2 linked regions of the Rhinolophus ferrumequinum genome follow. The protein of the gene in region 1 interacts with the protein of each later gene in a pairwise test. Links are inferred from orthologs where the notes say so. Each region holds a gene or a part of one and is shown on either strand. Other genes may lie near its edges. The genes, in order: METTL21A and FAM200C.

Region 1 (16,075 bases):
GGACACACAGGAAGAAGGCTGCCACATGAAGATGGAGGCAGAATTTAGGATTATGTTGGCACAAGTCAAGGAATGCCAATGGCTATCGCAAGCTGGAAGAGGCAAGGAAGCATTATTCCCTAGAATCTCTGGAGGGAGCATGACCCTGCCTACGTCTTGATTTTAGACTCCTAGCCTCCAGAATGAGAATACATTTGTTTTTTATTATAAGACACCCAATTTGTGGTTCTTTGTTATGGCAGCCCTAGGAAACTAAGGCACTGATTTTCTGGACTGGAGCCCCAGGTGAACCTAAGATCCTGAGAGTAGGGCCCAGACCATGGCTTAGCAGTGGCTAAGCGATGGCTAAACAATATCAGGCACAGAGTAGACGTCCCCTAGAGAGATCACCATCCAACAAAGGAACAACCTAAACAAACTGAGCTAATTATTTGGTCCAGGTTCTAAAACTAGTTTGAAGGTCTGTTTTGTAGTGAGATCATGGAGAATCTTAAACAAACAAACAAACAAACAAACAAAAAACCAATAATGGGATACTGCCTTAAATATTTTCTGAAACAAGGCAGGGTATAAAGAAAAAATAATTAATTCTTTGAATTTGATGCAAAAAACTTGTCGGCCACGGGGAGCCCGTGAAACGCACAGCTCTAAAGATCACGTGCTGGAGAAGTGACGGCGGTGGGCTTTTGGGGGCGGGGCAGAGGGATCACCTGGCAAAGGCCAAGTGCTGACCCAGGAGGTGGCTGCAGGGGTGCGCGCTGAGGAGCAGCCGAGCAGTGGTGTTCTAACCACCAGCATGATGTCCGGTGTGTGACGCTGGGGGTGGACAGGAGACAGGTGGCCAGTCGGGGGACACAGGGCTTACCTCAGACGAGGAAAGAAGGATTCGGGAGGAATAGTAAGACCCCGCTACTCACTATGTGTCTTCAAGTTCAGACCAACGAACCGAAGCACAGAAATGACGGGCGCCCTTCTCAGCGTCCTCAGGTCTGAGGCAGACTGTCCACAGCAAGCAGCTCAGGTTGCGGAGAAGGTCAGGGAGAAGACTGAGTAAAGGGCTTCTTCTCGGGGTGCGCACCGACCGCCAGGGCCAGTCCCTTGCAGACACTCTGGTCACCACAGACACCTGGGATTACAGGAGCAGTGACTGAACAGATTCACAAGTGTGGGCACTGAAAGGCAGGAAGGTTACAAATCCTAGGAAAAAGTTGGGGCAACAGACACCAGTGCGGAAATAAGTAACAGTAAATTTTCAGTAAATGTGTTTCCTGCATGCCAGGCACTGGTTTCAGCACTGAGTGTGTGGTCACCACCTTCCTTCAGACATCGAGCCGGCAGGGTCATGGTAAGATCCCCACTTTGCAGATGAGGAAAATGAGGCCCAGAAATGCTGATTCACCGGTCAAGGTCATACGGCTAGGAAAGGACACAGCAAAGAGTGAAACTGGTAGCTCGGTTCCAACCCCACTGACAGGTAAGGACAGCAAAGTTCAAGGAGTTGTAGTGACGTGCCCGAGGTCGCACGATTAGGGAGCAGCAGAACCGGGACGGGAGTTCCAATCTTGCCATCTCCAGCTCCCTACTCTTCCACTGCACTGCTGGGGCTGCTGAGCGGAGCGCGGGACTTGTGTGGAAGTGTCCTTGTGAAGACTTTGAACCTGAAGTTACAGTAAAGCTGCTCAATAGGTGAAAGTGTAGGAAGAAAAGGCCAGCTTGCAGAGAAGCTGCAGCAGCCTGAGGAGCCTCCTCGTAGAGGCAGAGTGGAGGTGGTGAGTGGGGGGCGAGACCAGAGACAAATGCCCCGACATCCCAGGAAGGAAGGCCCCCGGACAGAAGGGCCTCTCAGTTCAACGCCATAGTGAAGTGTGGTGTCCGGGACAGAGGCAAGACCTGGCATTGGCCACAAGTATCTCTGAGAGCATCTCAGGAGGGCCAGAGAGCAGGAGGCCGACTGCAGGCAGAGGACCGAGCAGTGAGGACCCAGAGGCAGCAAGCCTGCATCGCTCTTCGAATCCCGACTCCTTGGACTTGTTTAAAGAGAAAAAGGAGAAGCCGCTGATGGAAGAACTTGGGGAGCGAGCCTCCTCGGGATGGGGGAGGGGACAGAACTCCCAGGGCAGTAGTGCTGGGGGACAGGGAGGGGCTACCTTCTCATCCTGGAATGGACAGGAGAGATGCAGCCAGGGATCAGGCTTTCATTCCGCCAACATTGATCAAGGTCTGTGCTAAGTCTGGTCGTCTGCTGAAAGTGAGTGTGGAGAGGAACCTTGTCTTTCAAACACACATTCCTCTATTAGGATCATATTTGTTGTTTGGCAAGTTAGCCATCACCCAATTGTATTTGAGGACCTTACAGAATATGTGTGTTTTGTCTACATTACTTCCGAAAAACAAACAACAGAAATATACTATCCATTGGGATTCTGGTTGCATGTGTCAGGCACTCAAGCCGGCTTAAGCAAGAACGGAAAATTTATTATCAGGTTACACTGGTATCCCCCAGGCCCCGAGAGCCCAGGTGCAGCCAGGAAAGGCTCAGGACAAGCGAGCCATCAGGAAGCCTGGCCCCCCTCCCCCGGCTGTCCTCTGCAGGCTGGCTTCTCCAAGGACGATGGCTCCCCATACGTGTGACTTTATATCTCCTTTGTTTAAGCCCAGACTGAATGAATCAGAATTGCGTTTCTTCTGCAGGGGACAATAAGAGCAGCGCAAACTGGCTTAAGCTAATTAGGGAATTTAATGGCTCAAATAACTAAAAATTCCCAGCCAGCTGTGTCCAGGTGGTCACATGGCACCGTAGGAGGCAGCCTCTCTCTCCACTAGCACCTGCATGGGCTCCATTCTCTACTGGTTCAGCCCACTTGGGACCAGATGACCGATAGGAACTCTAGCTTCTATCCATCCCCAATTCTCTGGTTCTCTGAGAGTCCCAGCAAGTCTCAGGATGGGTGGTGGGTAAGCCCAGCTTTGGTCATATGCCCGCTTCTGAACCACCCATGGCCAGATAGAAGGAAATACTCATTGGCCAGGCCTGGGACATGTGCCTGGTCCTGGAGCCAGAGCGAAGGTCCATCCCACCCCAAACATATCATATGCTACATGATCCTTACTGTGCGCTAGGCGCTGTTTTAAGCACTTTAGATACGTTAACTCATTTTAACCTCACTTTACTATCTTTTTTGTTTACTAATGCAATCAGCAGAATATCCCCTTTTTATAGATGGACAAATTGAGGCACAGGTGAATGCATCTTACCCACAAGGACACACAGCTAGTAAGCTGCAGAACTGGGATACGACCTAACCTCTTGGGCTCCAGAAGCGGGGCTCCTGACCCTTAGCAGAAGAGAACGGCTACCAGCAAATGGGAAATGGATGCTGGACTAATAAAGATAATAATAACAACAGATAAACATAGCCACTCATTCTGCAGAGAAAATTATTTACCCAGCCTGGTGGCTGCTTCTCCTGTGACCTCATACACGGACTAGTTTCAGAAAACGGTGGGACAGAATAAGCACCCTTCTACCATTATGCTCTGGTGAGGTGTCATATGATTGGGGAAAGGCACTTTCAGTCACGGGGCTAAAAATAAAAAGCTATCAGCCAAAGGCTTCAGGAGTGCTTCTGTGTATTCTATCTCCACCCTAAATGCTGCTCCCCGCAAGGGGCAGAGTGGGCACAGAGACTCCCACAGCCTGCAGGTGCGCAGGGAACCCACTGGGCTGGAGGAGATGACCACACCTGTCCTGTTTTTAGTTGTCTGGGTCCAGGAGAGGGCCAGAAAAAGAAGCCCAGTTCCCCTTGTTAAAGGAAAAAGCACATGTAGAGCGGTATATTACGATTGCTCTACACTTTGGAATTACAGATAATGCAGAGAGTGAATCTACCCTTTTTCACATGCTCAGCAAAACTGCCAGAAGAATTGTCTTCAAGTCTTAGAATCACAGTTGGATAAAAGTGGTCAGTAGTCTTAGGCTGATGCTGACACCGGGGGGTCCAGGCGTAGGGCGAATAAGGAGTCCTGAGCTAGGCAGAGCTCCAGAGAAGGAGCCCCTTCACTGAGAAGCTAAACTAAGCCGTCCATCCTAAAAACGACTACCTAATATTTGAGATTTCCGTCTTTCACACCTGTGTTCTGTCAGCTTCTGCTGAATCATTCTGTAACGACCCCCAGATCTCAATAGTTACTTCAACGGAGGTTTATTTTTCTCTGATGTTTCACACATTTCACAGGTCAGCAGTGGCTCTGCTCCAGCTGGTGACCCGGGGTTGGGGAGCACCCCAACCTGGGACATGCAGGTCATGGGCAGGAGAAAGGAGCAATGACACCTCAGGTGAGCTATGCAAGACACCTCACATTCCATTGGCCAGAGAAAGTCACATGGCCACACCTGACTTCAACAGGGCAGGGAGACATCCCTTCCTCAGGAAGGGACACAGGGCAGGCCTGCAGAAGTTAGACTGGGTATTTAAAATAATATAAGCTATCACATACCCAACTCAATCGAGGATTAAAAACTTATTTTCCAGTATTCACAGTGAACCACTGGCTGTTTTGGTTTATTTTGATAAAAACAGAGCTCCACTGGGGGTGGGTGGCCAGTTAGTTCAGATGGTTAGAGCTCAGTGCTCTTAACAACAAGGTTGCCAGTTCGATCCCCACATGGGCCACTGTGAGCTGCACCTTCCACAACGAGACTGGAACAACTACTTGACTTGGAGCTGATGGGTCCTGGAAAAGCACACTTAAAAATAAAGAGAAGTTAAAAAAGACAAAGAACAAAAACCAACCAAGTAAACAAATAAAAAACCAGAGCTCCACTTAAATGTCTACACTGCTATACAAGATGCATACGTTTCTAAATATTCTTTTTGGTGCTTCCTGAGCCAATTGGTACCAATTAGAACATTGGTAGGGCTAAAAAACATTGTTGTCTCTTATGGCTGACAGAAAGTAAATGACAACTTTCTAGATAAACTGTAAGGCAAATGTCCTATGTGCATGGGGTGCTGGAGAAGTTGGGTAGGTTTTGTTTTGTAAAGTCCCATGGATGATTTCAGCAGAAAAAAATGGAGAATGGGGAGGAGGACCGGGGAAAGGGGTGCAGAATCTCTATGCCAGGCTTCATGGATGAGGGGCCTGGGATCTAGGAAGATTTACTGATTATTCAAGGTCATCCCAATTAAAGTGTCAGAGACAGAATTTAAATTTTCACAGTTTCTTTGGCTCCAAAGCACATATTTTTTCTTATGCCCCAGAATGGCTCCCCAAAGGAAAGGGACAATGAGAGGGAAAGAGAAAATAAGGAGAGGAGAGGGTTTTAGAGAAGGAAAGCTGAGCGGGAGAAACAGCACAGAGAGGCAGAGAAGGTTGAGAGAGTAAGGAGACACTAGAAGAGAAAAAAGGAAAGGAAGAGAAGACCACCACCACCAAAAAAAAAAAAAAATTGAATGAGAAGAATAAAGTTGGAGGACTGACACTACCTGAGTTCAGACTTAATATAAAGTTACAGTAACTTACTATAAAATTATAAAGCTATATGTGGCACTGATGAAAGAATAGACAAAAAACAAGCCACAGACTGGGAGAAAATGTTTCCAAAATACACATCTGATAAAGACTGCTACCCAAAATAAAAAAGAACTCTTAAAATTCAACAATAAGAAAACAATCAGATTTTTAAATGGTCCAAACCATTCAGTACATGAAATGGTGCTTGACAGGTTCACAACACAGGTACCTGAAGAGGTGCTCAACATCACTAATCATCAGGGAAATGCAAATCAAAACCACAATGAGATATCACCTCACACCTGTTAGAATGGCTATTATCAAAAAGATGAGCAATCACAAGTGTTGCCAAGGATGTGGAGAAAAGGAAATCTTTGTGTACTATTCGTGGGAATGTAAATTGGTACAACAGTATGGAGGTACCTTAAAAAATGAGACCCAGAAATCCCATTCTGGGTACCTATCCAAAGGAAATGAAATCACTATCTTGAAGAGATATATGCAACCCCATGTTCATTGCAGTGTTATTCGCAATAGCCAAGACATGAAAACAACGTAAGTTCCATTAACAGATGAATGGATGAAGAAAATGTTATGTGTGCGACACACACACACGTGCGAATATTATTCAGCTATAAAAAAGGAGATCCTACCCTTTGTGAAAACATGGATGACCTTCAGGGCACCACACTAAGTAAAGTAAGTCAGACAGAGAAAGACAAATATGGTACGATTTCACTGAAATGAGGAATCTAAAACAAAAACAAAAACACACCCAAACACATAGAAACAGAGCACAGATCTGTAGTTGCCAGAGGTGGAGGGTGGCAGGTGAGGGCAATGAGTGCAGGCAATCAAAAGGTACAAACTTCCAGTTATAAGTTCTGGGGATATAATGTATAGAGTGGTGACACTAGTTAACAATGCTGGATTGGATATTTGACATTTGCTAAGAGAACAGATTTTAAAACTTCTCATCACAAGGAAACAAACTATGTGAGGTGATGAATGTTAACTCACAGTGGCGATCATTTTGCGGTATATACACATATCAAATCATTATGTTGTTCACCTTAAACTAAGGCAATATTCAATATGAATTACATCTCAATAACGCGGGGAGAAAAAATGCTCCACATCGTATGTCACTAGGGAAATGCACATTAAAACAACAATGAGATACCACAACAGGCCTGTTAAAGTGGCCAAAATCCAAAACACTGCAACAGCAACTGCTGGTGAGGATGCAGAGCAACAGAAACTCTCGTTCATTACTGGTGGGGATGCAAAATGGTACAGACACTTTGGAAGGCAGTTTGGCTGTTTCTTACAAAACTAAAAATACTCCTATCACATGATCCAGCAATCACACTCCTTAGTATCTACTCAAAGGTGTTGAAAACTTACGGTCACACAAAAGCCTGCACATGGATGTTTATAAGAGCTTTATTCATAATTGCCAAAACTGGGAAGCAACCAAATGTTCTTTAGTAGGTAAATGGATAAACTGTGGTACATCCACACAATGGTATGTTACTCAGTACTAAAAAGAAATGAGCTAACAAACTATGAAACCTTAAATGCATACTCCTAAGGAAAAGAAGCCAGTCTGAAAAGGCTACAAACTGTATGATTCCAGTTATATGACATTCTGGAAAAGGCAAAACTATGGAAAAAGTAAAAAGATCAGTGGTTGCTAGGGTTTAGGGAAGAGAGAGAAATGAATAGGCAGAGCACAGAGGATTTTTAGGGCAGTGAAACTGTTTTGCATAACATAATGGTGGATACGTCATTACACATTTGTCCAAACTCAAAATGTACAACTACGACGTAAACTAAGTAAACTACGGTCTTTGGGTGATTATGACATATCAGTGTAGTTTCATCAACTGTAACAAATGTACTACTCTGGTGAGTGACGTTGATAATGGGGGAGGCTGTGCATGTGTGTGGCCAGGGAGTGTCTGAGAAATCTCTGTACCTTCTCTCCAATTTGTGAAATTAAAGCTGCTCTCAAAAATACTCTATCAATCACATAAAAAGAAAAATAAACTGAGCAAAGCAAAAACAAAACAAAACAAAACAAAACAGGAAAAGACCTTCACTGGCGACTTTCAAAGTTCACTTCCAGTCACCTTTGTGCCCCCAGGCCTCAGCCTTCAGTTGGAGACAGAGGCCTGGCACGTCCCCTGCGGGATGGGAGAGGCAAGGAGAGAGGGGGCTTCAGGCCTGGCCGGAGCTTCCCACTGGTGACCGCTGGCGGGAATCACCAGGGAAGGTCTAAAACACCAATGCTGGGCCCCAACGCACACCAACTAAGACTTTCCCGTAGCAGGGTACCAGGAGTTCAAAAGCGCTCGCGTTCATTCTAACGTGCAGCCGGGGCTGAGATCCACCGAGAGAGAGCAGCGGCAGGGTGGGGTAAGGGGGTGGAGGTCAGGGTCAAAGCAAAAAAAGAAAAGAAGGATGCTGCCCTCCGGGTGGTCTAACTCTTGAGTGCTCACTGCAGCCGCACGCTTTCCAAGGGCACGCGGCCTGGGTGCCACGCTGTCAACAGCTTTCACGGCAAGAATGGGTGTGCCCAGGGCAGGGGCGCTAACCGTCAGCCCCAAGAGGAGGAAGACTAAGCCTTGGGTCTGCAGCAACCGCCAGGGCCAGGGTCGGGGCCGACCTCACGCCCCGGGCCCCGCCCCCAAGTTTTACAATCCAGGCCCGGGCGCCACGTGCTGGCTCCACGTTTGCGCTCTAGTTAAGGGCTTTGTCACTTTCCCACTGTATTGCCACCAAGCGGACAATTACACCGCTTCTGACCTCGCTTTGGTGATGCGAGGACGAATGGGTGACCACGTATTCTTCGCAGCCAGCTTTCGCCTACACCTGCTAACTGCCACCTTTAAAATTAAAAATAAGCAAGGCCACAAGTACAAAAAACAAAACGCGTGCGCGCGAGAACCAGCGCATACATAAGCGGCACCAGTACCAGGGCACAGCCAGTACCAGGTTGGTGGTTTCCCTTTACCGGTCGCCAGAGCACCCTAATCCCTCTGCGCACCTGCGCGCTGCTCCGCACCTCGATCTCCAGCCAACGCCGCTCTCGGCGGCAGGGGAAGCTGATGTGGCAGCCAGAATGCCTTGTGGATCCACGTGGATAAGGGTCGATACCCCACGCAACGTCCCCCCTCTCGGCCCCTCCCAGCACGTGCGTCAGCGCCGCGCCCCCAGCGCTCGCGGAACACCTGTCCCGGGGGCAGGGTGGTGGCGGAAACCGAAAACGCTGGCCGTCGGGGGCGCACACGTCCTCCTCCGGTCGGCACCGCCCCGCGCGGGCCCGGCCGGTCCCCTGTCCCCCCGGCCCTTTAAGGCTGGTCGTTTCCGCAGCCGGCCTCTGGGCGGGGAAGGCGCAGCGCGCGCCACGCCGGGGCCTCCTCCCGAGCCGTAAGTAGCGGTGGGGCCGCGCCTCGGGCCTCAGTGTGTCGCAGGCTCCGCTTCGGGGGCGGCCTGGGTGCACCCTCTGCCCTGCGCAGGACAGATCCCGTCACTCCTGGGGTGGGTGGGCGTCTTGCGCGGTTAGGGGGGCCCCAAGGACCCTGTGGACCCCTCCCCCTTCTCCCATTCCCAGCCCCGCCGGTTCCTAGAGCTCTGGGACCCGCGGGAAGGAAGCGCGTACCTATCGACCCTTTAGAGGGGCAGACGGAGACACGTGTGGGGTACTCTGGAGAGGCCTCCCAGCGGTGGATGCCCGAGTCCGTCCCGGACCCGCGCTCCCGCTCTCTCTGCGAGCGACTCGGAATCCATGAGTGTCTTTTCACTTCCAGCCTCTAGGAGATGGAACTGCGTCGACCGTATATATCCAGCTGGCGTCAAAAGGAAGGACAATCGAGCCGTTAACACTCAGTCTAAGTGCAGGTTCGGGTCCATGCCTGTCACTTGGCGAACGCACCGCTTTGGAGGGGTGGAGGCAAGACCCAAACAAAAAGTACCCTGCGGACTGCAGCGCGTTCCAGCTGCAGGCCTGGGCGGTTTAGAAAGCTCTCCTTTCCCCCGGGCCCAGGGCTGGCAGCGCCGCCTCGCTCACCCTTAGCGCGGCTCTGAATTCACGGACTTCTAACAGCGAAGTGTGTACCGTTCTGGGTGCTTTTGCCCAAAGACATCCTTTAGCATGAATTCAGAGCCAAATTTCACTTCTCAGAAAACTCGGAGGAAGGGCCATGGAGAATGAATTAGACAAACGTTTCCCCCCACCTCTTCTTTTGAACTTGTTAAACGAACTTAGAAAGCATTTGGGGCCACTTAATCGTTAATGCATTTTCTAGCCAGAGCGTCACGCAGGCATCTTTTGCCCAACAGGTTTAAGGGAACAGAGAGCTACCGCAGTCGAAATGGCCCTGGTGCCCTATGACGAGACCGCGGTAGTGGGGTTGCAGCGATTCCACAAGCCTCTTGCCACCTTCGCCTTTGCAAACCACACGATCCAGATCCAACAGGACTGGAGGCAGCTGGGAGTCGCAGCCGTGGTTTGGGACGCGGTAAGTAAGCCCTGGGGGGCCTCTGAAAACATCTACAATTGATTACAAGGCTGATCTTTATTTAAAAAAATAAAATAGCTTTATTGAGATATAATTCATATACCATACACCACTTATCTCAAGTGTATATTATAAATACAGGTAAGTGCTTTTTTAAAAGTAAATTCAGAGTGGTGCAACCATTACCACTCTCAATTTTAAAACATTGTCTTCACCCTACCCCCTCCAAAAAAAACTTCCACCCATTAGAATCACTTCCCTGCCCCAACTCCCCCCACATAGGTTGCATTTTAAGGGTGAGTAGAGGAAAGCTAAGGGAAATTAAGTGACTTGCCAGTAATTTCCCCAGCAGGTGAGAGGGAGGACGGGAAACCTTAACCGCTTTGTACACTCATTAAGTTAATTTTTAAGTTTAATTTTTAAAATATTGCAAAAAGAATATTGTAAAATGACAGAACCCAAAATGAAGATCATGTGTTTTCTTTAAGTTTTCATAGTTGTAATGGTCACAAAATGATACTATAATTGCTTTTTCACTTTTTCTTCTCCCTGCATTCTTGTGACAGTGACTTGCCATCAGAATCTAGTACCAAACTGGGATTCAGTGGCAGCTCAATGAACGTTGGGAAAATGCTTGGTGTAGATACAATTTTACAGTCTGCATTGTCTTAGAAGTTAGAGAACCATTGAGGAATAAAAATCAATATATTCTCACCCAGTAATATCACTTCTAGTAATACCACATGAAAACTATTCCCAGACCAAGAAATAAAGATGCATAATGGTGAGGAATGGGTGAACCTCCAAAATGTCCACCAAGAAGAGGAATTGTTAGTTATACTAATAGTATGTGGCCATGAAAAACTGTATTTAAAAATTATGTTAACAGTATACAATGCTTTAATAGATTTGTATGCAAATGCTAACTCACACGTATCCCAAACGTTGGCTAAAACTTACCTTCTGATGCCGGATAATATACGGTGAGGGCCCCTGTGGGGTGATGACCGTCAGCGATGCAGGAGGGAGGAACACAGCTCCAGGAGCCTCGGGTGTTGCTCTGCTTGTTCCCTCGGGGGGAAGTTGTGGCCTTGCTGACTTGGGCTTGGTTCAGGAACTGGACATTCTCATAAGCAAAATCCAAGACTGTTCATGTCAGTTCTGCCAGAGGAGTTTTGTAAGCCTCGAGTGGAGCGGTGCTGTGACAGTAAGAAATTAAATTTCCCAGATTCAGCAGGACCCTGTCTCATGTGGGCAGTGTCACTGGCCACTGCTGTTCCCGTCAGGGCATTAGTGTGGCCTGGGGCAGCTGTTCTGTGGGATGCTGGGATGCCGTGTCTGTGCTTGCTCTAGGACGTTACCTCCCAGCAACAACTGAGTTCCTGGGAGTGTTGTTAAACTGGGAATTGAACGTTGATTCAAAGTGGGAAAGGGTTGTGTGATGACTTCCTACCAGCTTAAACCCCTTCAGCTCCTAAAGCACCTTAATCGTAATTACACTGTGTTTTGACTCAGGCTGTCGTTCTTTGCACGTACTTGGAGATGGGAGCTGTGGAGCTCAGGGGCCGCTCTGCCGTGGAGCTGGGTGCTGGCACAGGGCTGGTGGGCATAGTGGCGGCCCTGCTGGGTGAGTGTGACACATTCATTCACTCCTTTGTGAGTGGGACTCATCGAGAGGTACATTTGCTGTTTTCTTGATGTCAAACCCATTACTGTATTGTTTTTCTTTCCCCTGTAGTTATTATGAGGTACGGGCTAACTCTAGTAAGGCTAATTTCTTCTCTCTTTCTTATCCTGTTACTTATACTTCTCATGGGAGATTGCTTTGCCCCTTTCAATTTTAAGGTGCGGATAATATGATCTGAAGGCTACTTTGAAGTTCAAAGAGAATTATCTTATTCACATACATAGTTTTTTTTTTTTATACTTTAGGTCCTTTCTGCGGATTTAACCCTGTGAGGTAGGTAGAGCAGACAGTCTCTTTCCTTCATTGCTAAGGAAACTGCTGGTTTTTCTCTTCTAGGAAGGGTCAGCCCTGCTACAGTTGGTACTGACATATTAAAAAATTGTTTTAACAGTATATAGTTATAAGTTGATTAATATCAAGATTTGTCAATTTTTTTTTGTTTAGTATAGAGACATTATTTTGGCCTAGCATATTTTTTAAGCCTCATTATTATTTGATTATTGTTTATTGACTCCTTTGTACAATTTCCAGCTCATGCAGTTTGAACTAGCCAATGAGAGGACAGATCAGCTTCTAAGATTCCACATATAATATTCACCACTTGTCACTTAGGGCTCTTAGTAAAATGCAGTTTCTGATTCCAAAGGTGTGGGCAGGGCCTGAGAGCCTGTATTTCTGCAAGGCCCAAGCGATGATGATGCGAACACCTAACTTATTTCTGCCCTTTCCCTAACTTATTTCTTTTCCAGTATTCCTTTCTCTGTGTAGATTTGCCTTCCAAAATTTGATGGGAACATGGGCAGGGGTGGTGGATAAAAGGATATATAAACCGATTTCGGTTTCTGTCTGTCTACAGCCACAGCGCTTTGTTCGCTGGTAAGGCCTTTGCTGCTGCACTGCCTTTTGTTCCCCTCGGGTTAGTCTGATCGCGTCCCCATGTGTGTTCGGTATTCTTTTTCTTTTCCATTTTTCAAATCCTGGAGATTGAGCCACTCTCTGAAGTCCTGATCATCAGAAGCTTAAGACTCAAACCAGCCTTGTCAGACACAGCAGCCCAAGTTATTTTCTTGCCACGACACTAACTTCCTTCTGCTTATGAGAGGGGTTAACTGGGAGGGGAAATGAGGTTTCTTTTGTTTACTCCTGAGAACTAGGGCTTCATGTACAACTTCTTTGGCTGGAACAGCAACAGGTTCGTGTGGTCAAGTGCAGAGGTTTAGAGTTATACTTGGTTTTCGCACGTCTTTTAATTCCTACTAGCTGTGTGACCTTGGGCAAAAGTTGCTTAACTTCTGAACTTCAGTTTCCCTATAAATTGAGGAAATAATTGTATTCATTCCACACTGAGGATCAAATGAGATCGTGTGTCGAAATCTGCTGGCTCATCGACTGGCTCAAAGTAAAGGCTCAGTGAATGTTGATTGCCTCTCCGAGTATTTCTGTTTCTGCTCTAGAAATCTGGATCTGTGGGGTTGCGGAAGTCAAGATAAGGCTCTTCAAACACTAGCATAGAGCGATAGGCTGGTTAGCCATTGTCACAAAAGGCCCCGGGTGGTTCTGGGAGGGCCTAGAACAGCAGACAGTGTTCTCGCCATAGGGAGATGTGTGCTTCCCGGCCCCACTTCACGTTACTTGTTTGAGTTCTTTCCTGCCCCAAAGCAAAATTAATTGCTGCCTTACGTCTTTTCCCCACAGCACTTGGTATACTCCCTACCTCTGTCCCAGCACAGTCACATTTCATTATCGGCAGGTGTTTCCCGTGTCTGTCTCTCCTGGTTCCCGAGCAAAGGGACTGTGCTTCATTTTGTGTGTCCTTGGCCCTAGTACAGCACCTGCCACACAGGAGATAAATAGTTCTGGAGTAAGAGAGGAACACACTAGAAAATCATGAAAAGAAATGTTTCTGTTATAAAAGTCATGTAACTATTATAACAATAGCCCTAAAAGCACTCTTTTAAAAAGAGGGGAAAAAACCCACTAAAGATTCTCATTATTCATGTCAAGTATTTTCATTTTTTGTAACCCGAGGCTTTTCATCCTGAATTCAGGGAACACCTACTAACTGTCAGATTGGCTCATCTGAAATGCAAAAGTGATGGGTTACCCATACTTAAACATCTCGGCCCCCCTGCCCCCCACTTCCTAAAGACTAAATCCCAGGCTTCTTAGGAAGGCTCTGCAATCTTGTTTTGCCTGATCCTTCAGCCTCTTTGGTTTTCATAGCTATTGCACTGTTGGAAGCTCCAGGGCCTGTCCCTTTCTGGCCTGTCCCTTCTGCCTTGAACGCTGTTCTTTACGCCTTTCTCCTGGTTGATGCCACATCTGTGAAGTGAAAGCTCTGATTTCCCTTCTTTTGATGTCTTTGACCTCTGCTCCTCCCAAAGAATTTCTCCTTTGTGACCTCACAATTTCCTCACAATTTTTACTTCACAAGTCGCATTACAACTATGTTATCATGAGACTCCGAGGGCAAGGTTTATCTTGCTCGTCTTTGTATCTCTAGCACCTATGTGCTCAAATGTTTAACAAATTAAGTTACTGTTTACAAAACTAAAAACCAAAAGTGAGGACAAATGTTTACACACACTTTTTCCATTACCAAGTGAGTGACAGCAGGCTGTGTTGTCCTTCTTTTAAAAAAATAATGTATTGCTTTTTCTTCCAAAGCTTTGTGAATTTACAAAAACAAACAAAAAAGATCCAAGTTCACACAACGCTCAGTTTAGACTTCTGAATGCAGGAGGTGAGACCTGGGCCACTGTGGTCACTGGTGTTCAGCAGATGTGCAATGACATCTGAAACACCCACCCCTGCTCCTTACACACCATCCCACATAACATACTTGGGTCATTAGTAAAACTCACCGAAATGGCCCAAGGTTTTTCTTTTTTCCTTCACTCCTGCTATAAAATGAAATTTTCAGTTCATTTTTGAAAAATAAAGTGGTCAATAAATTCATTTTGTTCTGCTTCTACTTTACACAGAGCTTCATATTCATCCTGATACCTTTCGAGCTGCATTTTCTTTTCTGCTATTAGTGCTTGGAGTTGCAGCTGCTGGGCTTCTTTCTGCTTTGCTGTAGATTTGAGCAAGTTCTGATTTGAGCAACGATCGGCCTTCATCTTCTCATTTTCTGCTTCTTTTGTAAATTGGTCAACAAGCTCCAGTAAACCAGCAACTATTTTCTGAAACTGGCCAGTTCTGTCCACAGGGTCCTTGCCCTCTTCCTGGAGCGCTGTGGTCTGCTGGGTAACGTCGGGGTCCCACACCTCAGCTTGTTCGGCTCATCACAGTGCAGGCCTGCTTTGCCCAGAATGCCCGGGGCCATAGCGGCTGACCGCGTAGCGGTGTGCTGTGGCCCAGGCTGACGGTGGCAGGCGGCTCTCTCTGAAGCAGCCTTATCTGGCCCGCCCACCTCAGCTGCTGCCAGGGCTGCAGCACCTGTTTACGCATAACGCTGGGCTACATGGTCGCATTGGGTCAGTTCCCATTCATCTTTATGAATTCTGTATTGCCTCACTTCCCTCCTTCCCCAGCGTAAATCCCAGGCAGTCATTTTAGCATCATCTTTATTACCATCTTCACAGTCCTTCCTTGCTGCTTCTTCATGAGGCTAAAACCAAGGTGAGGTACAACTCTCCACCTGTTCCAGGCCTGTACCTGTGCAGCCGGCTGTGGCTGGAGGAAACATGCTGCTGAGGCTCATTTTAAATTCACGATCAGGGATCTCGAAGGGGCTCTCCAAGTTGCTGAGCAGCCTCACTACTTCCTCTGCAAACCTCCAGCCTTTCTTCCTCCATTCTCACGCTTAGCTGATGACATTCCTTCTCGTTTCACTGAGAAGACTGGAACAGGCAGAAGAGAAGTTCTGTGACCGCCGCCACCCCCACGGCCTCTGCCCCCACCTGCAGCTGGGTCCGTCATGTCTGCCTTTGCTCCAGTGGGTCTCTCTCCTGTATCATTTCCTCCACGTTCCACCTGATCCTTCCCATCACCATAGAAGCTTGCCGTTATTTCTCCCACTGAACGAAAAAATTATTTTAACTTCTTAAGTGGCTGTTTCTAGGTCTGTGGCAGGAAATGTACAAGATAACCCTGGAATATCTTGTCATACCAGATAGCAAGGAAGCTATCAAGGACGACGTGGAGTTGTGTCAAAAGTCCACTGGCAAAAGATAGGACAATTTGAACACCAGTAATACATCAAATACGTTTAATCCATGAGTTCATGATACAACAAAAAATAATAATTAGTTGTCTTTGGGGGATGCTTAGAAACCAACTCTTTATTTTGAAATCTGGCTTACAGAAGGGGAGAGAGGAGCAAAATTTATCCTGCCTTTTCTGT
Region 2 (16,229 bases), on another chromosome or scaffold:
AAGAGGGGTGTCAAAGAGGTATGTAAGCAACCTGTATATACATCCGTGTGGAAATGGAGATTTTATTTTAAGAATTTAATGTAAGAACCTTTAATACAATACTATATGAAATAGAAACATTACATAGCCTTTTATCTGGTATTAAAATTCACAATGCGTATTACATTAGCTTCTGCATTTTCTTTTATATGTTTTATTTTGCCGAAGTCCTTAAACTTTCTCATTATAAAACTGTAGAGACTAACTGGTTATCCTCTTAATGAATAAATCATTTCACTAGACAATATAATAATGAGAGCCAGGTAAATAAAATATTTTCCTTATTTTTCTTTATATCCATTTATAGAATTCCATAACTACTAAGTACCGCAAAGGAGCATGTGAAAATTGTGGGGCCATGACACACAAAAAGAAAGACTGCTTTGAGGTAAATTCACCTTTGAGAATTTTGGAAACTGTTGTCGGAGAGTCTTTCTGTCTTCATTTCTTGTCAGAAAACTTAACCCTATTTTTCTAAAATTATCTGTACTTAGGTACAAGTTAAATTAAAATTAATTTGAGTGAAATTAGTTCAACATCACCAAATTTTTCTGCTGGAAGACGAACTGATAATTTTATTGAATAGACCATAAAGTCCTATGGTATGTCCACACCTGCTCTGTAAAGATTATATGAAATTTTCCTCTGGGTTACAGATACTTAGGAAAATTTTTAATGTGTTTTCCAGAGACCCAGACGAGTTGGAGCAAAATTTACAGGAACTAATATAGCTCCAGACGAACATGTCCAGCCTCAGCTGACCTTTGACTATGATGGGAAGAGGGACCGGTGGAATGGCTACAATCCAGAAGAACACATGAAAATCGTAGAAGAATATGCCAAAGTTGATCTGGTGAGCAAAATTCCCTGCCTTCCTACTATCCTTAAAGAATGGATATTTTGCTCTATGTCTAATGTGGTAACTCTATTTTCTGAGTCTTCAAGCAGTTTAAAACTGGGCATTTTTATTGTAGTAGCAGTAGTAATCCTAATTGAATAGTGAAAATAACCAGTGTGCTAGCCCTATTTGGCAGCATTTTTTTAAATTGATTCTTGTATTGTCCTTCACTCTTTGATTTAGGTTGCAAAAATTACTAGAAGCATGAGAACAGGTTAGTGTCCAAACCCCTGGCTTTCTGAGGTTATAAACTTGATTCCCAGACTGGATCCTGCCCATGAGCCTATTTGACAGTCGTCTCAGAGCATGTTAGGGTGGTAGCAGGGGACGAGGATAACTTGTTTCAGAAAAAAAGAATGGTGTCTTAATTCTGCCTCAACTTTTTTCTGTTACAATTTTACCTGCTCACTCCATTCCTTAAAAACCGCAGTCACACTGCCCTTTTTTTTTTCCTAAAGGGAAGTTAACATTTAAAAATCATTGGATTCCACTTAATCTGAATTTCATCTTTTCTTAAACAGTGAAATATATTGTAATCCTGGGCCTGCCTGGCAAGCGTCAGTCATCTGGAGTCAGGTGGCAACGGCCCCTTTTGCACAGGGCTTGCTCTCTACAGTTTTTCACCAGTGCTGTCTGACTCATTTTCCATTAATGCCTGGTTCAAACAAGAGTTTGTAACTCCTTGTTTTTTAGACAGCCATAGGTCTAGAGCTACAAGAAACCGCAAAGAGATGACCTTGTCCAGTGACCTTTTCTGAAAACAAATTTAGTCTTTTTTTTTTCCTAATTTTTTATTGGGGAATATTGGGGAACAGTGTGTTTCTCCAGGGCCCATCAGCTCCAAGTCATTGTCCTTCAGTCTAGTTGTGGAGGGTGCAGCTCAGTTCCAAGTCCGGTTGCGGTTTTCAGTCTTTAATCTTTAGTTGCAGGGCGTGCAGCCCACCATCCCATGCGGGAATTGAACCGGCAACCTTGTTGTTGAGAGCACGCGCTCTAACCAACCGAGCCATCCGGCCACCCCTCCGGAAGCTCAGCAGCAGCTCGTTGTCTTCAATCTAATTGTCTTCGATCAAAGTCTAGTCGTGGGTTGTGGAGGGCGCAGCTCACTGGCCCATGTGGGAATCGAACTGGCAACCCTGTTCAGAGCTCGTGCTCTAAACAACTGAGCCACCCAGCTGCCCCAAACTTAGTCATTTTAAATGCACTACAATAATTAAATGTTTATTTGAATGTTGTTAATAAATCTCAAATGTTTCTTTTTTTGTTAGGCAAAACGAACACTGAAAGCCCAGAAACTCCAAGAAGAATTAGCCTCAGGAAAATTAGTAGAACAGGCTGTAAGTAATAGAATGATCTATTTTAAAATGTCAAATCTTAGTAAACAAAAACTAAAAACTGAAACAAGAATTCATTTTATGTATCTTCTGTTATATCTTTTTTTTTCTGGTATATCTTTGGACTTGAGAAAACTAGTGAGGGTTAATGAAAATGGTATGCCTAAAATGAACATATATGAAATTGAATATTTATTGGGTACATTGGTCATTTAATCTTTCTATTACCTTTATGTGATTATGATCCTATATCTAAAAATTCTCTAGAAATTTTCTGGCATCTAATAAAATTAACTATTTAACAATGACATACTTGTATTCAGAACTTATATGCTCATTATAAGTGAGAAATACGAGAATTTGTTCAATTAGATTTGGTATATTATCTTAACTATGTTTTTAAAGTGTTAAATAATCAGTAGATGTAGTAGAATAAAATGACAATTTTTTTTTTTCCTTCTGTCATGATGCAGAATTCTCCAAAACACCAGTGGGGAGAAGAGGAACCAAATTCTCAGATGGTAATAAATATTTGCCTTATCTGGGTATACATTGAAATTTTCAACTTCTGATGGCTAATATGATAATAATATATTATTATTATTACTAATTATATTAATAAATAATAATAATAGCTTTAAATAATACAAGTGAATGAGGGTATGATTAAAGGGGAATGAAAGGAAAAGAAAAACTAGATGCTGTTCTTTTTTTCTTGCTCATTTTTCCCCTCTTCCTCTTTCAGGAAAAAGATCACAATAGTGAAGATGAGGATGAAGATAAGTATGCAGATGATATTGACATGCCTGGACAGAACTTTGACTCTAAGAGACGGATTACTGTTCGGAATCTCAGGATTCGAGAAGATATTGCAAAAGTAAGCCTGGCCAACTTAACGTACACGTTCAAAAAATACTTCCCAACCTAAATTTCACCTAGTTGTTTAGTATCTGGGCAGTAGGTGGGTAACATAGTCATTCCCAAATTAGGTACCTTCTGGTTTTTTTCTCTTCATCTGTGTCCCAGGATGCATTCACACGTTAAATTGATTATGGTCAACTCCTAGTCTGCTGAAACTTTTTTAGATGGAAGTAAACATTAATGCAGTCCTTAAACATCTTTCTGTTCTAGTATTTGAGGAATTTAGATCCAAATTCTGCTTACTATGATCCCAAAACGAGAGCGATGAGAGAAAATCCCTATGCCAATGCAGGAAAGAATCCAGATGAGTAAGTATTGAGTTAAATGTACAGATTTCAAGATTGGCGGGGGTGAGGGCAGCTTTTAATTGTAAAACTGAATCTGAATTAAAATACACATCATCTATGGCTCGGTCAGAGAAGAATTAACTATCCTTAAAAAAAAATCAACCTCTGAAACAATTCTTTTTTCAATTTGTATTTACAGAGTGAGCTACGCGGGAGATAACTTTGTTAGATACACAGGTGATACCATTTCGATGGCTCAGACGCAGTGTAAGTGTTTGTTGTATTGTCAAGGCATTTTATATCAACTCATAAGAAATTTGGGGGGAAAAAGAAATTTGGGGGCATTGTTTAAAAACTAGAGCAGTAAATGTAGCTGACTGCTCATGAAGATGTTTTTCATTGCCACAGTGTTTGCATGGGAAGCCTACGACAAGGGATCTGAAGTACATCTGCAGGCCGATCCTACAAAACTAGAGCTATTGTATAAGTCCTTCAAAGTCAAAAAGGAAGACTTCAAGGAACAGCAGAAAGAAAGCATCTTGGAAAAGGTAATTTTGACCAAAATGCTAAAGAAGAACATTCCTTACAGTTGAAATACAACATACACAGAGTCCCTTTTAGTCCTTTGGGAATAGTCCTTTCCTCTTATTGACTTAATCCATGGGCAAACAGTAATAATATAGCTGTATTTCTAAGCTTTTGCAGCAAAACAAACCACCCCAAAACTTAATAACTTGCGAAACATTTCTTTTTACTCATTATTCTATTTGTCAATTGGGTCTCCTGATCTGGGCCTGCTTATCTGAGGCTGGAGGATCTAAGATGTCCTGACTCTGGTCTAACAGTTACTAGGCTGATTGTCCTACGAGGGCGTCCTCTGGAACAGCTCATCGCTTCCCATGCTGGGCACTCATCCTCTAGTAGGCTCGCCCAGCTTCTTTCCATGGCATTCTCGGGATACCAGAGACTAGTAACAAAAAGTATGCCCCAGGAAAAAGGCCCGCAAGTGCTTTCCGGTCCTTTGCTGGGGTCACACTTGCCAGTTTCCCATAGGCCAGCACAAGTAACATGGACAACCCCAGATTCAAGGAATGGAGACGCAGACTCACTCTCGAAGGGAGGAGCAGCAAAGTCATGTGGCAAATGGGCACAAGTACAAGGATAAGAGGAACGTATGGCCACCTGCAACAAATTAGTGGCAACTGAGACATCTTTTATTTGGTGGCATTTTTTTTTTCACTGTGTCTTACATAACAAGGTCCATAAAGAATATTTCTTTAATCTTTTTGATTGGAAATAAATCCTTCAGTAGAGGTTTGAGTGCACATCTTTGTTGTAAAGTGGATTTAATAACGTTCACTGTCTTTTTATAATAGTATGGGGGCCAGGAACATTTGGATGCCCCTCCAGCCGAATTGCTTCTAGCTCAGACAGAAGATTATGTGGAGTACTCCAGACATGGGACTGTCATTAAAGGGCAGGAGCGGGCGGTCGCCTGCTCCAAGTATGAGGAAGACGTGAAGATCCACAACCACACGGTATGTGCTGCATCAGAGCCATTTTGCTCTATATTACAGTTTCATGTTATAACGTCATTATTGAGTCATGGCTGTGCTTTTCTTTTCTCTTACCTTTTAAGTTTGTTTTGTGAAATGTTTCCAAAAATAGAAAAAATGTAAAAGAATGTTCACCCACATACCCAACACTAGATTTAGAAATTTTTTACGTGTTGCCGTATATGCTTTATCTAGATATGTGTGCATGTATGCATGCTGAAATACATATTTCTGTGTATACATACTTTTTACATTATTTTTTTGATTGAAACATTTGGAAATTACAGATAGGACGTTTCACCAATAAGCACTATATCGTGTATTTCCTAAAATGAAGGATATTCTCTTTTGTACCTACATTGCGTTTATCGCACTTCAGGAAATTGACAGTAACTCCTTAGCAGCATCTAATCTCTAGTCCTTAATCTCATTTTCCAAAATACATCCCCAAATGCCTTTAAATAGCTATTTGGAGTTTTGTTTTTTGTTTTTGAGTCAAAGTGTATTTTGATTGTTATTTGGTTGTTATGTCTCTTTTATCTAGAGTGTAGCTCTCCTATTTTCATGACAGTGACTATTTAATAGATCAGGCCAGTTATCTTATAAACTGGCTCATATTCTGTAGTTGACTGGTTTCTAGAGCTATCATATAACTTATTCTTCTTTCCCTTGTATTTTGATAAACAGGAATTCAGATCCAAAGGATCTAAAGGCTTAATTGTTAAATATTTTGTTAATTTGTTAAATATTTTGACAGCACTTCAAAGGTGATGCAGAGTACTTCATATTGTATCACATCATAAAGCATATAATTGTCACTTACTGTATTATTGAAATAACCAGTTGTCTCTCTAAGTTAGGGGTTAAAAGCATAACTACCTATAGGAGCCAGGGCAGTAAACATACATGAGTGAAGTGATCCAGGAAAATTGTATAAACTGTAGAACAAAAACCCTGTCTTGCCAAGTGGGAATGTGAGCACAGAATTTCCTAGTCCTTAATTTTTCAAGAGAAGACACGTATCCTAAATTATTTTATACATGTTAGAAATAGAATATAAGATCACTGTAACTGTAATGCCTGCTTCTTATACTTGAGGTCTGGCCGGCCTTTCCCTATTAGCTAGCCCTACAATTAGCCCTAGTTCAGGTTGCATTTTAAGTAATCTCTCTCTCTCTCCAGCATATCTGGGGATCTTACTGGAAAGAAGGCCGATGGGGATACAAATGCTGTCACTCTTTTATCAAGTATTCCTATTGTACTGGAGAAGCTGGGAAGGAGATTGTTGTAAGTAATTGTTTTCTAGCTCTTAGACCTATTAAACACAGCTCTTAACTCAAAATCTGTATGAAACATGCTTTCTCATGTTTCAAATTTTAACATTTTCTTAGATGGTTGGTAACTATGATACTCAAGTCCAGTTACATGTTTTCCTACAGAATTCAGAGGAATGTACTGTAAATGAAATAACTGGAGAAGAATCTGTGAAAAAACCTCAGACCCTCATGGAGGTAAGTCTATAATCATTTGTCCTGAATTTTTAAATCCCAGAGGAAGGACTTTAAAACTTGCACTAGAGCATTGTTTTCACAATAACACTATGTTTCAATCCTCCCTGTCAGATACATCAGGAGAAACTAAAAGAGGATAAAAAGAAAAAGAAGAAGAAGAAGAAGAAGCATAGAAAGAGCAGTTCAGAAAGTGATGACGAAGAAAAGAAACATGAAAAACTGAAAAAGGTACTTTGTGAAGTCTAAATAGTGAAAGTGACAACAGTATTCTTTATTGGTGGCGGACCTTAGGAAATTATCTAGTTCTAGCTCCCAGCTCATTTTAAAAATGAGGAAACAAGGCCCCATTCTGGGTCATTTGCTCAGGTCACCTTGTATCACATCTAGAATGCGAATGGAGATTTTATGTGTCTCAGTATTGCCTGCTTCGTAGAATATTTGACAAATATCATGAATGCACAGAAGAAATGTGCTTTGTAAAGCTGTAATTTCAGAGTTATTGAAATTATGTTGTCCAGAAAGAATTGCCTTCTAGCTCTATAGTCTGTAAGTTTCAGCAAGTCCTTAGGAAAAGTCAGAATTCCGGTCTCTACCAGAAGCGTCACTTGTGGGCTTCTGTCGGTAAAATGACCGTCATTCAATTTTTGCAATTAAGCAAAAGTGCTTTAACATTGAAATAGAATGTTTTGTGCTCTGTAAAAATAATCATATGAGCCAAATAGTAATTGCCGCTTAACAGGTGTAAGGGCTGACTCCCAAGCTCTTTTAGGCAGTCTAGAATTTTGATGTGGCAGTGCCTATTCAGTAGAGTGTTTTGATATTCTGCCCCTTTGGAACAAAAGCGAACTGATGGAGAGCCACGGTTCTCCTGTTTTTCCTCTCTCTATAGGCACTGAATGCGGAGGAGGCCCGCCTTCTTCATGTCAAGGAGCTCTTGCAGATTGATGAGAGGAAGCGGCCTTACAATAGCATATATGAAACTCGGGAACCCACTGAGGAGGAAATGGAGGCCTATAGAATGAAACGTCAGAGGCCCGATGACCCAATGGCCTCTTTCCTTGGACAGTAGTAACTAGTCACAGACGGTCACCCAAGATAAAAACAGCTGATGTGATACTCTTTTTAGCTTCTTGCTGATTGTAGGTGGAAAAATCAGTATCCGCAAGCAGATTTTAATAAAGCTTCCAGAAGTCTCATAGTAAATTCATTCCTTTCTATACTGAAGAAACAGAAGAAAAAGAGGAGCTACATTAAATACAGAATAAGATTTTATTTCCAATTTTATGTTCGTGATAGGGAAAGAGGCCCTGACTTGCTTGCGCATTCTCTCTCCCCCCCCTTCTCTCCCTCCCTCCCCCCCTCTGTCTTTCTCCCCCCCACCCTCCCACCTTATCTCCCTCCCCCCCGCACTCTGACTCAACAATTAAATCTCAAACTATATTTCTTCAATTTCTATGTCCCTTTATCTAGTGTTTGCACATACTTTAAAGGGAGATTAACTACTCTTTCTCAAAACCAGGGCTTCAATTTTTTCTAATTAGTAGTAACTATGTGTAGTTATTTTATTGTCATTCGTTTTTGCCTTTTAAGGTTTTCCTGGTCTGCAGCTAAAAAAATTCAATCTGAAAGGAAATTTGTAGAACACATGAATAACTGTCTTGCGTGGTGGTAATTTTGTTTTTCACTTATTTATAAACTTTTGATTTGTAAAATATGTCCTCATATTTTACACCCAGAACTAAATTGTTAGTCTTTGAGTGGAAAAATAACTTTTGTCATTCATGAATCAGTGTTTACCTATCAGCACATCGTCTTTTACCATTCTGGTCATGAGCCTTTAGACACAAATCCTTTATTCTAGAGGATATGATTAGTGATACTATTTTTTGTTTCAGTTCTGATTGCCTTTCTATAATAATTGCAAATATTAAATTTGATTTTAAAAGCTTATAGAATATCCCTTGTACCTAATCTTTGTAGCCAGCAGGTGTCACTTTATGTAATGTGCAAAAAGCAAAACGTGGAGTTGAAGGTTTCTTCGAAGAATTATAAGGATAGCTTGTTAGGGCTACCAGGAACTGAGACTGCCATGATCCTCAGGCCTCTTCTAAGAACAGTGTGAAAATAACACTGACAGTGAGAGCGGAATCTGTGTAAACAACCAGTTAAAAAGCTCTGACATGAGTACATTGTTGATAGCTCATTGAATTTTCTGAGCTACCAAAAACCGTTAGAATGCTACATTAAGTTAGCATCTCAAAAATAGTTCTGGTGGGAGAGTAACTGAATCAGATTGTCAAGTACTATGGGTATACATGGTATCTAGATTCAGACTGGTATGAAATTAAAACAGCAATGTAAATCTCACCCACTTGAAGATTGTTAAAAGTTTATGTTTTCATATTCCTACTTTAACATAGGATGATTCTACATAATGTCTGCAATTGGTGTTTGTTTTGTATATTTATCTTTTGTTAATAAAGATATATAATTGAGAAAACTATGCGTGGTTTGTAGCATTATTTCAAATATTTGACAGAAAATGGAGCTAGGATTAGCTTGTGTGAGTTTGAATCAGAAATTTTCAGGGTCTTTTAACTCAAAAAATGTGTCACCTATCCTTTCTGGGCCTCTGCTCCTCTTCTGTAAAACCTAATTTATTCTGATTTTAGGAAGAATTCTGTAATGTCTGAAATCACATCTTATTTCTGTTTCAATTTGGAAGAAAGGTAGTACCCAGAACATTACTCCAGACAGTGTGCTTTGATTTTACTTACCAATAATAATAGCTGCCTTTTGAGTGCTGGAACTATGTGCTGTAATTTTCATATGTTACCTCCTCAAAAGAACTCCATGGGGTGAGTAATGGATGATAACCCTATTTTATAATAAGCATGTGGGCATAATGAGCCCAAGTACTTTGCTCAAGGCCTAACAGTTCAAAGTGTTGGGGCCAGGACACAAAGCCAAGTATCTCTGACTTTAAAGCCTACTCCTTTCTCTAGTATTTAAGGCCCTGGTTCCTGGGCCAGGAAGGCTGATCTTCTGCAATTTCTTCCATTGACAGAAACCTTAAGCAGACCCTCAATCTTTACCAAGGTCACCTTTCAACACCAGAAAATGATTCACCTGTCTCACATTCTTGAGCACTTCCTCCTCTCCCGGTCTTGTGGAATGATTCTGACAAGAACAACTATTCAAAAATGAATAAAATAGCATTTCCTTAAGTGTCTATTTTGGAAGAAAATACCCCCCAAATAGGAAAGAGGGCTATATTTGGGCTTGTTTTTTTCAACAATATTTTCTAGTTTCTCCTTTGGGGTTTATCTCTCAAATCTCTCTACTCTGGGTTTATTACTATAAGATCCTGTTAAAAAAAATTTTTTTAAATAAAAATCTTTAAGATGGATGATGATTCTCAGGAAATTCATCCACTTGATCTAATTTATGGGAGAGGGTGACCTAAATAGGCAACAGGACACAAGCCCTGGAAGCACATCTTCCACTGTACCTTACAGACTGTACCATTTGCCTCAGTGTTTAAGTTGCGAGTGCAATCATCTTCCATTTCCTCGCTGAGACCACATAGAAAATGGTAAATTATTATAGCTTTACAACCTTCAATCTTAAAGCCTGACACAATATAAAATCTTATTTCCAGTGCTTTTAAGAACTATGTAGACTTTACAATGCTTTCTATTCCTTAGATTCTATTTTTCCACCATTCTTTCTGGCAGACACAACAAAAAAATTTCAACTCCACGTACACAATCTAAAAATGCAGAGGGCCAGCACGCATGCTCCCTTCTCAAGCCAGCCGCCCCCCCCCCCCCCCTCAGCTAATGCGCCTGCGTGCGGGGAGACGCCTCGCCCAGTCTGCGGGCGGGAAGCCACTGGGAGAACCCGGATGGAAGCCCGGCGGGGCTGGGGTGGAGGTGGCTGCGGGCGCTTCTGTGTCACCACTCTCCGCAGGTTCCTGCTCCGGGGTCGCACTTGAGTAACCACTGCCTAGACGGGTTCCGGCGTCCAAAAGCTAAGCCCCAACCTGAGCGGAGAGTGAACTGGAGCCTGAAACGGGCGCCTAAAAGAAGCCCGAGCATCCTTTGGGCCTGCGCCGTTGCTCGGAGACGGGAGGCTGGAGACGGAGTGGAGTCTTTCCTCGCCGCCGGCGACCTTTGCTCGCCCGGGCCGCCTCCTAAACGTCCTTAATAATACACCAACAGGTCCTTCCTACCAGTTGCGAGCTGCGTGTTCTTTACATGCATGCTCATAATTAAACCTCCCAACAACCCTATAAGGTAGGTACTATTGTCATCCCCATTTGAGGAATTGAGGCTTGGAAAGGTCCCAGTCTGGAAGTGACAAAGCCAGGATCCCAGGCTTTTGCCTCTGGAGCATTTACTCAGCTACTGCATTCCCGTCCCTTTCTCCTGACTGTTACTTTTAACTGTAAAATGTAATGATTAAATCCTCTGCCTCTCCAGACACCTGCACCTGCCGTGGACTGGCCTAAACGGTGGCTAGGTAGAAGCGGAATTGTGTTTGGTTGGAGTTTTAGGTTTTGCAACTGCACTTTGGTGTTGTCACTGCTAAAATTATGTGTTAGCATTCCCCAAATATTTGTGATGTAAATGTTCACCTCTAACCTTTTTTCTCTCAATCGTGATACTTTTTCATATCTGCCCTTATACTTCATAAATTTGCAAAAACATTTTACTTTGTTAGATCTTTTATTCTGCATCTTAAGATATCTCTCAAAAAATTATTCTGAAAAATAACAATTATACCAATCTTCAGGTAATGCTTTTTGTTTGCTCATTTTACTGTTTATTAGGGGGAAATGTCCAGCATACAGAAATAGAATGGTGTAGTGATAAGTACCCATCATTCATCTTCAACAGTTAACATCTCAAAGCCAGTCTTATTTCCTCTATCTCCACCCCACTTTGTGTGTATTTGCGTGTGTGAAGTATACAGTATTTCAAAGGAAATCCCAACATTTTATCATTTCACTTGTAAATAGTTAAGTCTGTATTTCTAATAAATGAGGACTTAAAAAAAAAACACAACCATACCATTATCATACCTGTTTAAATTAACAATGATATCTTACTGTGATGATGCTTTTTTAATGTTTACATATTTTTTAATATTGTGATCACTAAATACCACAAAGCATAAAGTGAAAATTGTGAGGTTCTAAAATACAAGAAAGCCTCTTGGTAGATAAATTCATCTTTGAAGACCTTGAAAATTCTTGCTGCCTATTCATCCTCTGAGGGAGATGGAGAAGGATGCTATAAATGAATTTTTCTAAAAATGATTTGGTTGAGAACAGGTACATCTTCAGTCAAAATATATTTAAGTAGCATAGTTGGGGTGGGTAGGAATGGACTCTTAACTGATCCTATAATTTGTAATGAGACTCAAGGAAAAAGCTCTGTTCCCCAAAACATACATGGTAAATATACATAACAGAATAAGAAAGATAAGCATTTTTTATGTTGATGTCATAATTTTATTGTTATCAATTAGAAGAGGTTCCAAACACTGCTGGTCCTCTCGTCTCATCATTTGACAAAAGAAGGCTTAAGCTCAACTTTTAAACTTTAAATCATCTTTCTTGACTGGCAGACATCTTCTAATTTTCACCTGGCTCATAACAAACAACCACATGGCAGGTCAACGGACTAGTTACATAGAAGTACATTTTACAGTTTGTTAATCTTGGCAGAGCCACTAGAAATCTAGTGCTTTAAGTAAATATTCTTGGCTTACTTACTGTGATTTACTGTGATTTTTTTTTTTCCTGGCCAAAGTGGGCATTTGGATTTTAATGTGTCCCTGTTATTTCAACCACATTCTGTGTCATTAGAACTTTGGAAACTTTGGAGATCACTTATTTATTTATCTGGGAGATAGCATTGTTTTCTCAGGTATATTTGAGCCTACTTTAGGATTATACCGTTGCTCATTGCTAAGGAGGAAGAAAAAGAGGAAAGGCATAGCTTTCTTTTGAGGCCCCTCAACTTTCCTAGGAGGTTGTCATCAACTCAGAAAACTTAAATGCCTATTAAAGCATTTAGATTATTAGCAACCTAGAATATCTGCAAGATAGGAATTGACCTGAAGGATATGTTGTCATTCCTCTCAATCTGACTATCTACTACGATGTGTATCAGAATCACCTGGACAACTTTATTTCTGATTCTTTTGTCCTACTGGCGATAAATTATTAGTTCTACAGTAGTACAGGGGCATGTATGCTTTCAAAGGGGTACCTGGTGATTGTGATGGGCATCTCTTGTTAAAGATTACTGTTCTAGTTACCAGTCATAAGAATTATCTAAAATGCTTATTTAGAATACAGCTTCTGGGCCCCTGCTCCAAAGCTAGGGAATCAGAATCTCTGGGGGTAGGGCCCAGGAATATGCATTTTAGCAAGAGACTTAGATGATTCCTCCATTTACTCAAGTAAAAAACCACTGCCTTCTATTATACATCCAGTCCTTGGATTAAGCCAAATCTTAGGAACACTGCTTAATTTTCATTTTGTTGTTTCGGCTTCTCCCGTGACTGCTTTTACTGAGGGGTAGCTATATGAAAAAGCATCATGAAATTTCTGTTGTAATTAAGGTGTCCTTTATGAGAGAAAATTTCCTGAAATCTCAGTAACAAGAATAGTAGTTTCTCCTGAGCAACTGGTTTTTCCTTTTCTATATGGACAGTATGATCATGGACTGATAGTGGCAGAAAGCTCTGAGCCAAATTTGTGTCCTACTTCTATGTCAAGAGTGCCTTAATCAAACCTGTTTGAAATTCCCTGCTTAAGTTGGAGTCAAACAAAGCCACTCTAGGATCAAATCGTTTTACAGATCTATTTAATTCTTAACTATTAAAAAGAACTGGCCACCCTATCAAACTATCTGCCCTTCCTTAGAGTATGTAGTGAAGTATTTCTTTTTCTGTTCAGTGCTTCATAACAAGGGGTGTGCATACATTGGCACAGAATGGAAGCATTGGCACAGGATGGAAGGAGGGAGTGGTACTGAGATGCCCTTTCTGGGGATACAAAATGTACCAGATCTGTTTGGAACATACATCTTTGAAAACAAATTAAGCCATAACTGTAATTCACCAGTAGAGGATTTACGGGTATTCACAACTTGCATAAGCCCAAATCTTCTATATGTAACTTGCTGGCAAGTCATGTATTCCAGGGCATTAGCTGTGAGTTGCTGGCTTTAAGTTAGACTGTCATGCTGGCATGGCTTTCTTTGAACAGGCATCTTACAGGATATTTCTTGACATGAACACAGATGACAGGATGGCATGTGATGTGGCTTTGTTTTAATTTGGTTAGCCACTGATTTTTAATGTGTGGGTTATATTTTACTCCCAAAGCAAAATTCTGCGGCATCTCTGGAATACTGCTGAGAATTTTGGGGTGCCATGTCGAAGAAACGCAAATGGGATGATGACTATGTTCGTTACTGGTTCACCTGTACAACAGAGGTTGATGGAACTCAGCGCCCACAATGTGTATTGTGTAACTCGATATTTTCAAATGCTGACCTCAGACCCTCAAAACTGTCTGACCATTTTAACAGACAGCACGGTGGTATAGGTGGGCATGACCTCAATAGCCTGAAGCATATGCCAACACCATCTGATCAGAGTGACACCTTGAAAGCATTTGGAGTTGCATCTCAAGAGGATGCCTTATTACAAGCATCGTATCAATTTGCATATTTATGTGCCAAAGAGAAGAATCCTCATACGATAGCTGAAAAATTAGTAAAACCTTGTGCATTGGAAATAGCACAGATAGTTTTGGGACCAGATGCACAAAAGAAACTCCAGCAGGTACCCTTATCAGATGACGTGATCCATTCTAGAATTGATGAAATGAGCAAGGATATCTTACAGCAAATTCTAGAAGATATCAGAGCCAGTCCTCTTCAAGTGGGTATTCAGCTTGCTGAGACAACTGACATGGGTGACTGCAGTCAGCTCATGGCATTTGTGCGATACATAAAAGAAAGAGAGATCATAGAAGAATTCCTATTCTGTGAACCATTGCAGCCAACAACAAAAGGAAAAGATGTGTTCAATCTCTTCAGAGACTTCTTTCTGAAGCATCAGATAGCACTAGATGTATGTGGCTCTGTTTGTACCGATGGTGCCTCTTCTATGCTGGGAGAAAATTCAGAATTTGTTGCTTGTGTGAAAAAAGAGGTACCACATATTGTGATCACACATTGTTTGTTGAACCCTCACGAACTTGTCACAAAGACATTGCCTACAGAGCTAAGGGATGCTCTGTTTACTGTCATCAGGGTAATAAATTTCATCAAAGGGCGAGCTCCAAATCATCGCCTGTTTCAGGCTTTTTTTGAAGAAATCGGAATAGAGTATAGTGTCCTCCTTTTCCATACTGAAATGAGATGGCTTTCCCGGGGCCAAATACTTACTCATGTTTTTGAAATGTACGAAGAAATAAATCAGTTTCTTCACCACCAAAGCAGTAATTTAGTTGATGGCTTTGAAAATAAAGAGTTTAAAATTCACCTAGCGTACCTTGCAGACTTATTCAAACACCTAAATGAACTTAGCGCATCTATGCAAAGGACTGGGATGAACACCGTGTCCGCTAGAGAGAAGTTATCTGCTTTTGTTAGGAAGTTTCCATTTTGGCTAAAGCGAATTGAGAAAAGAAATTTTACCAACTTTCCTTTTCTTGAAGAAATAATTGTTTCCGATAATGAAGCAGAAAATATTGCAGCTGAAATAACACTGCATTTGCAACAGCTGAGCAACTTCTTCCACGGCTATTTTTCCGTTGGAGATCTTGATGAGGCAAGTAAATGGATACTGGATCCATTTCTTTTTAATCTGGATTTTGTTGATGATGGTTATTTAATGAAAAATGATCTTGCTGAATTACGAGCTAGTGGCCAAATTTTAATGGAGTTTGAGACAATGAAACTTGAGGATTTCTGGTGTGTCCAATTCACAGTGTTTCCAAACCTGGCAAAGACAGCTCTGGAAATCCTTATACCATTTGCAACAACATACCTTTGTGAATTGGGATTTTCATCACTTTTACATTTTAAAACAAAGTCCAGAAGCTGCTTTAATGTGAGTGATGACATCCGTGTGGCTATTTCAAAAAAAGTTCCTCGTTTCTCAGACATCATTGAACAAAAACTACAGCTACAGCAGAAGTCACTGTAAGCTGATACACTTTTGTAATGTATAATTTTTAATAGTCTCAATTCCTTCCATTGTAAAACTAAGCTATTCTATCTCTTTCCTTTTATATTTATGGTATACTAAATCCTATGTTTCAAAAATTTAGCATCTTTAACTTTTAATTTTCTCATGAATCATGTGAAAATATATTTTAAGAGCACAAGCAGCAGAACAGATTGTGTACCACTGCCTAGTTAGTACATAGGATTCTTCTAAGTATCTGTTTAACCTGTTGATGTGATACATCAAAAAGACACCCAGGCACTAGAATATGCAGGTAAATGGTGCGGTAGGCTAGGAATGGAGCCAAGAAAAAAAGAGAAGACCTCCCAGAACGTGGATCTTCATGTTAAGAGTATAAGTCAAAAGACGAAATGACAGACTGAATCTTCCCATTTCTGTGAGTGTTGTTATGGGTAGGTTAATGA

Evidence for each region.
Region 2: the proteins of METTL21A (region 1) and FAM200C interact in binary tests that used the Homo sapiens proteins (3 or more experiments, as listed by UniProt). The two-hybrid records come from large-scale screens. The link is inferred for Rhinolophus ferrumequinum from reciprocal best matches to the Homo sapiens genes METTL21A and FAM200C.

Annotation. Positions count from the first base shown.
Region 1 is NC_046291.1:25,022,722-25,038,796, forward strand, and holds the start of METTL21A (protein N-lysine methyltransferase METTL21A), read left to right. Parts: upstream 1-8,043; 5' UTR 8,044-8,662; intron 8,663-8,703; exon of another isoform or gene 8,704-8,949; intron 8,950-8,965; exon of another isoform or gene 8,966-9,060; intron 9,061-9,329; exon of another isoform or gene 9,330-9,420; intron 9,421-9,861; 5' UTR 9,862-9,893; coding exon 9,894-10,040; intron 10,041-11,555; coding exon 11,556-11,667; intron 11,668-14,626; exon of another isoform or gene 14,627-16,075. UniProt on the Homo sapiens protein: Protein-lysine methyltransferase that selectively trimethylates residues in heat shock protein 70 (HSP70) family members. Contributes to the in vivo trimethylation of Lys residues in HSPA1 and HSPA8.
Region 2 is NC_046307.1:29,706,286-29,722,514, reverse strand, and holds FAM200C (protein ZBED8), read left to right. Parts: upstream 1-10,437; 5' UTR 10,438-10,844; intron 10,845-13,950; 5' UTR 13,951-13,998; coding exon 13,999-15,783; 3' UTR 15,784-15,979; downstream 15,980-16,229. Other genes in the region: pre-mRNA-splicing factor SLU7, read left to right, coding at 1-18, 347-427, 728-892, 2,206-2,274, 2,745-2,792, 3,017-3,148, 3,403-3,500, 3,679-3,746 and 6 more.